2 linked regions of the Nothobranchius furzeri genome follow. The protein of the gene in region 2 binds, or shares a complex with, the protein of the main gene of each other region. Links are inferred from orthologs where the notes say so. Each region holds a gene or a part of one and is shown on either strand. Other genes may lie near its edges.

The links. Proteins that work in one complex are often made in the same cells at the same time.
Region 1: the proteins of myo3b (region 2) and espn are in contact, whole or in part, in a crystal structure (PDB 5ET1), measured with the Mus musculus proteins. The link is inferred for Nothobranchius furzeri from reciprocal best matches to the Homo sapiens genes MYO3B and ESPN. Residues at the interface, in XP_017174528.1 of Mus musculus: Arg1223, Arg1224, Gln1226, Gln1227, Pro1228, Lys1229, Met1230, Leu1231, Ser1232, Ser1233, Asp1236, Thr1237, Met1238, Tyr1239, Tyr1240, Asn1241, Gln1242, Leu1243; in NP_997570.1 of Mus musculus: Leu35, Ala37, His41, Arg45, Ala67, Asn69, Ala71, His75, Asp76, Ala79, Thr80, Asp101, Ser103, Leu110, Arg113, Phe114, Thr135, Thr137, Ala139, His143, Tyr144, Ala147, Thr169, Asn171, Tyr177, Leu178, Gln181, Ala203, Asp205, Met207.

Annotation. Positions count from the first base shown.
Region 1 is NC_091755.1:32,449,765-32,453,749, forward strand, and holds the start of espn (espin), read left to right. Parts: upstream 1-1,185; 5' UTR 1,186-1,837; coding exon 1,838-2,140; intron 2,141-3,343; coding exon 3,344-3,537; intron 3,538-3,985. UniProt on the Homo sapiens protein: Multifunctional actin-bundling protein. Plays a major role in regulating the organization, dimension, dynamics and signaling capacities of the actin filament-rich microvilli in the mechanosensory and chemosensory cells.
Region 2 is NC_091754.1:20,402,168-20,407,712, forward strand, and holds part of myo3b (myosin-IIIb), read left to right. Parts: coding exon 1-1; intron 2-1,549; coding exon 1,550-1,760; intron 1,761-2,419; coding exon 2,420-2,567; intron 2,568-3,529; coding exon 3,530-3,683; intron 3,684-3,754; coding exon 3,755-3,843; intron 3,844-3,990; coding exon 3,991-4,120; intron 4,121-5,545.

The sequences.
Region 1 (3,985 bases), on a different chromosome or scaffold from region 2:
CTAAAGAAAACTCAATATATAAAGTAAATAAAACAACTTACTGTGATTGTTTTGAACAAAAAGCCAGTTCAAAACTTGTATAATCATGTGTGCTCTAATTGGTCTCCAACAGCGCATGTCTAAAACTTCTGTCCTCCATTGCCACTGAACTGCACATTTTTTTTACTCCTGTACACCTGGTTTGAATCAGCTGTGGCTTCTACAGAACTCGAGGGGCGTCCTGCAGGCGAATCAAGCATTAAATCAGATCAGGTGGGCTGGAGAACAAGTAAAACATGCTGGAATCTGGAATATGTAAGGCACACTAACAAAGTGTGCTGAAAACATATTTACAGGTGAATGCAGGTGCTTTTTGAAATCTGAGTCTTTCCTGATCTCATTTAGTGATAAAAAAAATACTATACTGATACTTGGATCTGAGTACTCATCGATACAGATTACCAATATTTCTACCACACAAAAAATGCAATAAGTTGCAGGTTTTATTTTCTTCTCTGCTTTCAACATGAAAAGACTGCGAGGTAGATAAAGAACAAAATATATTAACAGAAATAATCACAAAACTAAAACAGTATGTGAACAGAAATGACACAGTGAAGTCACTTTCAGGCAACTGCATTGGTTTCGGTTCCAGAAGTACATTTTAAATATAAAGAAAAGCAAAAAAAAAAAAAAAATCTGAGAGAGAGAGAGAGATTTATGATCCAATCAGCCACTTGGGTTAGGGCAGGGCTATTAAATTCTGGGTTTCTTGGTCGGTATCCAGCACGTTTAAGTAGATCCCTGGTCCAACACAGTCAGTGGTTGAATCACCTGCAGCTCCTCTGCAGAAGCCATTTAATCACCTAATTGAAACCAGGTGTGTTGAAGCAGGGTTAAACCCAGACCTGCTGCACTGGCTGGCCCTTGAGTCCTGGAATTGAATAGCCCTGGGTTAGGGTTAGAGACATTCATGATAATCAAGATGTCGGTCAAAAACAGCTTTTTTTGCACATTTTTTGTTTGGAAAACTGGCTAACTCTAGCAGATCAGATATGTTTTTCATGAGAAATAACTCGTTTTGCACTTCCTAAACCCCATAAATGTAAATTTACAGATGGTGGTTTACTCATGAAATAAGTCAGAATCAGTTTCACCAAAGACCACAAGATGGACCTCTTCCTTTCACAAGAAACAGGTGTCCGGTGTTGCTGATTTAACAGGAAAAAGCTGCGCAAACAGACAGGAGGAGTCCTCAAAGTCTGATCACTGGTGTTTACACCTGACTGAAACACTTACCTTTATAGAACTATTTACGTTAGTTTGTTACCGTTTGTTTGCACTGCTCCTTTAATTTCTGAGCGGATTTTCACAGCAACTTGTAACAGGCTCGGTGATCCTCCCCCTGCTGGATTATTTAACAGGCGCTCAGCCCCATGTCGCCATCTGCTAAAGGGAGAAAAACACCAAGAAAGACAAGAGCTACATTATAGACGAGAAATTAATTAGGAATAACGAAGGAAGAATTAATACAGGAAGTATTTTATTGGACACCTTGAGGCTGTTTTACAGGTGTGTGGATGATCGAGATTATAGAGGAGGATACGACTGCGGATGTCGTATCCCTGTGATGTTGTGAGATTTGATCAAACATGTAAAAGGATGTTTAAACAATTCAAACGTGGATTTTACGCTTCATCACCGCCTTGCTGAGATCCATGGAACCAAACTCTCCCACAGGTGACCTGGTGACCAGGATCTGAAGCTTTGCTGATAAAATGCTGCTGATGCTGACCCCATCCACCCGGTGAGTAAGTCGGGGGTCAACAGACGAGAGGGAGTCGTCCTGTCCGAGGCCATGGTGGTGATGGAGGGCGACAGGGCGCTGCTCGCAGCGAGGAAAGGGGACGTGCAGAGTCTGAAAGCGCAATTAGCGGCAAAGGTGCTCAACAGCGACATCAAGGATGCGCTCGGAGCTTCACCTGTCCACCACGCCGCCAGGGCCGGGAAACTGAGCTGTTTGCGTTTCCTGGTGGATGAGGCTGGACTGCCGGGAAACTGCGTGGCCAACAACGGGGCCACTCCGGCGCACGACGCGGCGGCTACGGGCAACCTGGCCTGCTTACAGTGGCTGCTGACCCAGGGTGGATGTCGGCCAGAGGTAAGTGAGCTAAGCCAAGGACTAACAAGTGGAGCAGACAACATGTAGAAGAACACCATGCTGCTTTAGATTCATTTGAATTATTTATTATGGCAATTTAATAAATACGATTTCAATATTTCTGCCCCGTCCTTTTGGTTCTCTGTAAAATCCTCTGTTGTTGTCTCTCTGATTCAACACGCCCTTAATGCAAAGGTCTGCAGAAGCCTGGTAATTAGTCATCGGATCAAACCAGGTGTGTTGGTGCAGAGAGGCATGTTAACAATCAGTACGGTAGCCCAGAAGGACCAAGCTTGCTCACCCCTAACCAACATCCTCGTACATGATCATACATGACAGCATGACCAGTCAGGAGGTTGGTGATAACTTCATCCAGGAAGCAATTACAACTCAACCAGGATGTCCCCTTTCAAAATAAAATATTATGATTCAATTACAAACTTTGAAGGAAAATGAAAGGCAATGAAATGATAGTTGTCAAAATCAGTACAAATGAAATTTAAACTTTAATTTTCTGATTAAAACCAACTTTGCAGAATTGCATTGTGTTGCCGTGGTGATGAAGTATAGGCAAAACAGGATTTGCAAACCTAATTCTATTTGTACAGTACATCAACAGGCAGTGGCGGACTCAGAAATTTGTGGGCCCAAGGCAAACAAAAACATGGAGCCCTCTGCAGCTGTTGGAAAAAATATTCTAAACATCTTTTAAGTGTAATTGGGGCCTTATAATAGGTTTAGGGCCCAAGGCCATCACCTCCCTTTGCCCAAAGATAAGTCTGCCTCTAGAGGCTCAGGAGGCTTAAAAACGCACGATGGCTCCATGTGGTATGTTGGGATAGTTGGAAGGCTTTTGGGTGCTGTAATCAGTAATGCTCACATAATGAAATAGATCTGATGACTCCATGACCTCGTGTCCCTGGTACATGCAAATTACAGTCGGCCAATAAAGAAATGCAGCTGCCTTTTAAGGAGTTGGATTGGGAAGTATTTTAGTTAAGCCGCTTTTTAATAGAAATGAAGGAAGTAAGGAAACTTAAAAGACAAATCCAGCAGTGTGCAGGAATCCAGAAGTCAAATCAAGATGGGTTGAAACTATAGAACACATGATGGTGAACAAATAAATACCACATGAATTTAGACCACTAATGCAAGAGCATAAAAAATGAATCATTACTTTTTTAGTTCTTGTCTGTTTTGCAGGACAGAGACAGTTCTGGCGCCACTGTACTCCACCTGGCAACTCGCTTCAGCCACCATGAGATCACCGACTGGCTGCTGAAGAGCGGTGAGGGGGACCCCGGGGCCCCTACAGATACAGGTGCCCTACCTGTTCATTATGCTGCTGCCAAGGGAGACCAGGCTTCCCTCCGCCTGTTACTGGGGCACAGCCCAAAGTAAGCCTTGATACGCGGGCTCCTTATTAACTGATCTGTTATTTAAAGTTACAAAGTGTAGTTTTTATGAAATAATCTCTGGAGACATCCACCAAATTGCTGTTGAAACTGAAACTGTTGGCAGCTTGATATCATATAAATATAAAAGGCAGGCCTAAAATACATGAGCAGGTCTAAGGCCCGTTCCCAATTCTCGCACTGCGTCCTACGGTCCTCTATGAAGTGCACTTGGAGGAAGGGCACAGTAAGGGTTCGAGTGTGTAGCACGCGTACCGAGATGCCACATCCACACAGGAGCCACATTCGGACCGCCAGACCTTCAAACCTTTGGGCCCTAGCGCCCCCGTCAATTGTGGGGCTTTGAAATTTAGCAGCAAAATTCATGTCCCAAATATCAATAATTGTTTACGTTCTCCAAACACAACTAAAACTTCAATCAAAACAGTTT
Region 2 (5,545 bases):
GGTGAGATACAATAAAGTAGAACATTAAATTCAGTGATGGTCTATCTAGTACAAGCAAAAAAGCAAAACCATAGAATAGTCTAAGGAAATAGGCTCTAAACGTTTGACTTCGAACTTGTTTGGACTCCAGAAGTATGCAAGTATTGTCAAAATGAAAATTAGACAAAGAAAATACAATCAATCTTACAAACTTTTATAATATTGTTGTCTTTAAGGTGAAATAGGAGATGTTTTTCTTGCCTTTCAAGCAAGCTGCCATGTGAAAATGCACAATACCAATGTCCAACCTCCATACCTCCCTAAAATGTGCCTCTAGAATACGGGAATGCACAATGCTTGTTCCAGAGGGTTCAGTTTTACATTTTTGGCCATTATCGACAGTTTATGCGATAACACCTAACGTAATGCACCAACGTAACCATATGACAAGTCAGTATGCTAGCTAATATTAGGTGTGTGTATTGGCAAGGGCAACTATATACATGAAATTTAGCAATACTAAAAGAACTCAGGCCAGACACATCCAGAGTTATCGCCAGATCTCATTGTTCTATCAGATTGAAGGTGGTGAAAACTGAAGTTGCCAAGCAACAAAAGAAATACAGTTAATGCTTGCATGCAACTTTTCAGTAAAAATGTCTGTTGGAAAAAGAAGATAATTTTTAGCTTTCTTGGCTTATTAATAACTTTAAAATCCCAGCAGCTCAGTACCACCACCAATCTGGGAAAATCCCCATGAAAAAAGGTCAATAAGAACTTCCTAAGACCAGGGGCGGTTCTAGACCAAATTTTCCAGGGGTGGCCACAGTGGGGCCAGTATTTTTTCATGGGGGCACAAGAAAAAAAAAAGGGAATAATTAGGGCAATATCAAAATAGTTTTTTGTCTCCGCCATATGACTAGTTTTGTGCTTGTGCACAATTTTGCCAAAGGAAATTCCTAGTACTGTGAAACTACTCACTTTTTTGTTCTCTTCTTTTTCATGTCTATCTTTACTATATTTTGGGGATCAAATTTATCAAAAATTTTCCTTTACTTTTTTCATCTATGATCTTTTACAGCTGTATTTTATTAAAATAAGATTCAAATTAATTCATAAGTAAAGACAATGAACAAGTAATCTATTGCAGCAAATGCAGTAATGATTTACTTGTGAAAGTAAAACTGGCATGTCTTTATGGCTCAGACTCACGCTCCTCTCTAGGCGACTATGCACAAACGCATAAACGGCCCAAACAGAACATTCAGTCCGTTACACTAGGCAGCCTGGCTCAGGCTTCACTTCCTGTTTAGCTACTCTGAAAACCCTCGATTCTTGCATAGATGATCATGGCACGATCGGGGACAGTCATGCTCCAGTCATTATCAATTAGATGTTCGCAGTGAGGTGGCTTTTCCAGTATTGTACAGTTCAGAAATAATTCGTTTTCAGACAACACTGGTTGCTGTGAGGAGCATTTCAAATAATTTGGCAAAACAAATTTTGAGAAAAACATCTACATCATCTACAAGTTTTACGTTTTATTTTGATCAGTCACCTTTCTTTTCAGCTGCATCTCTCCTCAGCATCGGCTTCGAGGAGCTCCAGGAGGCGCTGACTTCTCAGTGTGTGGTCACGAGGGGCGAGACCATCATCCGTACCAACACCGTGGACAAAGCTGCTGACGTCCGAGACGCCATGTCCAAGGCCTTGTACGGACGCCTCTTCAGCTGGATCGTGAACCGCATCAACTCACTGCTGCAGCCTGACACGAACACCAGGTGAGTGTCTGTCGTCATCTGTGGGGACGTCCCCTCATGCAGGCTCTCTGCAAGTCCCCGATGACCTCTGTGGAAGTCCGCAGAGGTAAATGCAAAGAAGATGATATTAATAAGCACATACAAGAAAAGTAAAAAGAGCAAAAAAATCAAAAAAAGATAAGTTTTTATAAATTTTTGATAGTTGCGTGCAGAGAAAATAATGTTCAGATGATTAAAAAGACTTCAGAGAGACTGCAAAAAGACTTTTCATTGATCCAAAAGAATTTCTTCATAAATGTGAGCGTCGACTGTCAGGGAGTCATCTCACACAAATGAATTCAAGTCATCTGGGCTGATTCTTTATTGCTGTTAATAACCGGGCAGGCTTAAGGTGACCTCTATGTCCAGCCATGAAGCATCGAGTGCTGAATATAAATAGCATCTTCAGCTGAAGAAAGGTGAATTATTTGTGCTGAAAATGTTTGAGGTTAAATCAGCCGAGGCAATCTGAAGCGGCTGTCCGTAACTTCTCATCAGACTAAGCCATCCAGATCCGATTCTGAATTTGGGTTGAACTTGAATTATCATTAAAGTTTAATCAATTAATACGGCTGCTGGGGATTTACCCGCTCCGCCACATGGAAGAATGCATTTGTTTGTCCCCCTTTTCTCCTTTGAAGTGCCTCCGAGAGTTGCATGAATGTGGGAATCCTGGACATCTTTGGTTTTGAAAACTTCAAGAAGAACTCGTTTGAACAACTGTGCATCAACATCGCAAACGAGCAGATCCAGTTTTACTTCAATCAGCACATATTTGCCCTGGAACAGGTGAGGGTATTAATAATCCACACTGATGCATCAGAGATTACTCTAATGTGTTTTGGATTAAGCAAAACAGGGAATCGGTGATCTAGTGCTGTGATTACTTGTTTCTGCATGTTTTCATTTAAACTGTGAACCTCTGGCTTGTCTGATGAATAAAGAAAAAAAAAAGATTATTTTTACCTTCGTACACCTCAAAAAAACCCTTTCAATTAAATAAAGTATGTATTTTTTAAATGAATAAACATTATTTATAAGCTGTTGACCCAATCGCTTTGCAATTTTCATCACTAGTTCTAGTGAAGTTACTTTTCAAAAGCACAAGTAATCTACGTTTTTCGATATATCTTGTGCCATTTCCATTCAAAACTATGGCTCCTTTAATGAGAACAGTCATCTAAATTCACATTTAGAAACGCTCTGCAGGACCAGAACTCATCAGAAGCTGCATGTTCTTTTTTTACAGCAGTGATGAATGAGAATTAGGACCGAGCTCATGGAAAGTTGTTGCCCCGTTAAAGGGAATCTTTATTTCACACTCTGATTATTCCAGCATGATGACTTAAACATGAGTCAAACAGTTTAGATCCATTGGTTCTTCTTTATTAGTAAAATACATATTTAAAACAACTTTTTGATCTGAAGTTAAACAGATGCAATAATAAGAATATCGCAGTGTGTTATTTGCACATTGAAATACATTATAAATAAGTGAGTGACTATTTGTTAGATTGGAGCTGTTGGGGTTCATGCATCCATTTCATTATGCTAAAAAGTTCAGCCAGCTGCAGCTGGTTCCATGTGCGCGTACACACACACACACACACACACACACACACACACACACACACACACACACACACACACACACACACTCACACACGAGTCATTTTTACCCCAGATTGTTTAACTGGGTCATTTAGTGAAACCAATAACTGGTTCTTTTTGCGTTTTGTGGTTCTAATTAGATGGAATACCAGAGCGAGGGAGTAGATGCCAGCCTGGTGGAGTACGAGGACAACAGGCCCATCCTGGACATGTTTCTGCAGAAACCCATGGGTCTGCTGTCCCTGATGGACGAGGAGAGCCGCTTCCCTCAGGCCACGGACCAAACCCTCGTGGGTGAGTCTACAAAATACATCTGAGGTGATTTTTTATAACATGTAAAACTGACATTTCTTGTTTGCTTTCAGATAAATTTGAAGACAATCTGCGCTGCAAGTATTTTTGGATACCTAAACGCATGGAGCTTTGCTTTGGAATTCAGCATTATGCTGGGAAGGTATCAGAACATCTGAATCTATCTAATTTTAACTTAGAATATGTCCGTAAATGTTAACCTGGCGAAAACTTGCAGTATTAGGTTTGAAGTTGTTTTTTCTTAACAAAACTTCGGATTTCTGAGCATTTCCTGTGTTTTACTCTACAGGTTATGTACGATGTGAACGGTTTCCTGGAGAAGAACCGGGACACTCTTCCTGCAGACATCGTTCTGGTGCTGAGAACATCAGAGAACAAACTCCTGCAGCAGCTCTTCTCCAGCCCTCTGACTAAAACAGGTGTGTCGCCATGCAGTGGTGGAAAAAGTACTGTTTTTTTTACTTAAGTACAGAAAGTACAGGTAAAGGGATAAATAATTATTTAAAAGGGGACAAATTATAACTTTTTTCTTAGTTTATAATATTTTTATGGTTGATATCAAACATGTTCATGAAGTTCTTTGCACTCAATCTCTCTCACATTAAGATATTTCAGAATTTTTATTCTTGACATTTTCAGTATCTTCCACAATGAGCCTTTTTAGGGCTTTGTCACTTTAAGAAAAAAAGCTGTAGCTTGCCACACCTACCCATCCCCCACTCAGGCTACTATAAGCTGAGAAACTCGGATGTGCTGGCGGGGTTTGGAGTAGAGCTGCTGTTCCTCCAGCACCAGCTCTTTCTTGCACGTGATTGGTGGTTCCACTGTAATTTGTGATAATCACAAACAGGGACTTTTTGAATTGGCTTGTTTTCGTTCCTAAAACCAAACACTGACAAAAAAAATGGTTGGATGGATATTTTCACATTTGGACTGTTAAGAGAATATTTAACATAAGTAAAAGTATTAAAGTATGCATTTTAATATGTACTTCAAAGAAAAAAAGTGAAAGTAATACTTTTACCTTTGGAACTGCAGTCCGGCGGCAGCTCGAACAAGGGAATGCACACCCTGTCTCCATCAAACCCGGGGTTTGGGTGGGAGTTGGACAAAATGCAAATGAAAGTTCTTTCACTTTTGAAATTTTTATTTGTAGTGACGTAAAAGTAAAAAGTAGGCCTGAAAAAAAAGACTTAAGTAAAGTACAGATACAGAAAAATGATACAGTAATGAAATACTTGTACATCATTACATTCCATCACTGCCACAAGGATACCTATTTCATTAAAAAAATATTTGCAACAATTTAGAGAAGCAGTTTCTTGCCACTCACCATAACAGGGACCAAAACTTTCCTCGGAGACAGACCGTATTAGTGAGAGCATTGTCCTTCTGTGTGCTCCCTCCATACATGTTCAGGTAAGTGGGTTTCTTTAAAAGACGCAGCTCGCAGACATCTACCAGTCCTTCGTTTCAAGCCTCTGTGTGCCGTCCTCGGTTAAATCTGCAGTCCCCATTATCTCTTGAGAGGCTCAGCTCTCTGCACGGCACTCTGTTTTTATTTTCACTAAGCTTTCCCTCTTGGTTTCCCCACCGCTGAATGCTATCTCCAGATTGTGGGTGCTGTGGGATATTTTACGATAAGGTTTCTAAATACCCAGGGGATGAAGAAACAGTATTTAGAGAACACAAAAGCAACTCGTCCCACATCTTTTTCGTTGGTTAAATTAATGTGCTCGTCATTAGCCAATGCCGAGGCCTCCTGGTCACTTGACTTAGCTGAAATGCTAATGGATGTCTTAAATGATCAGATTCCCTCTTCTTTATTTCAGCTAAGCCACACT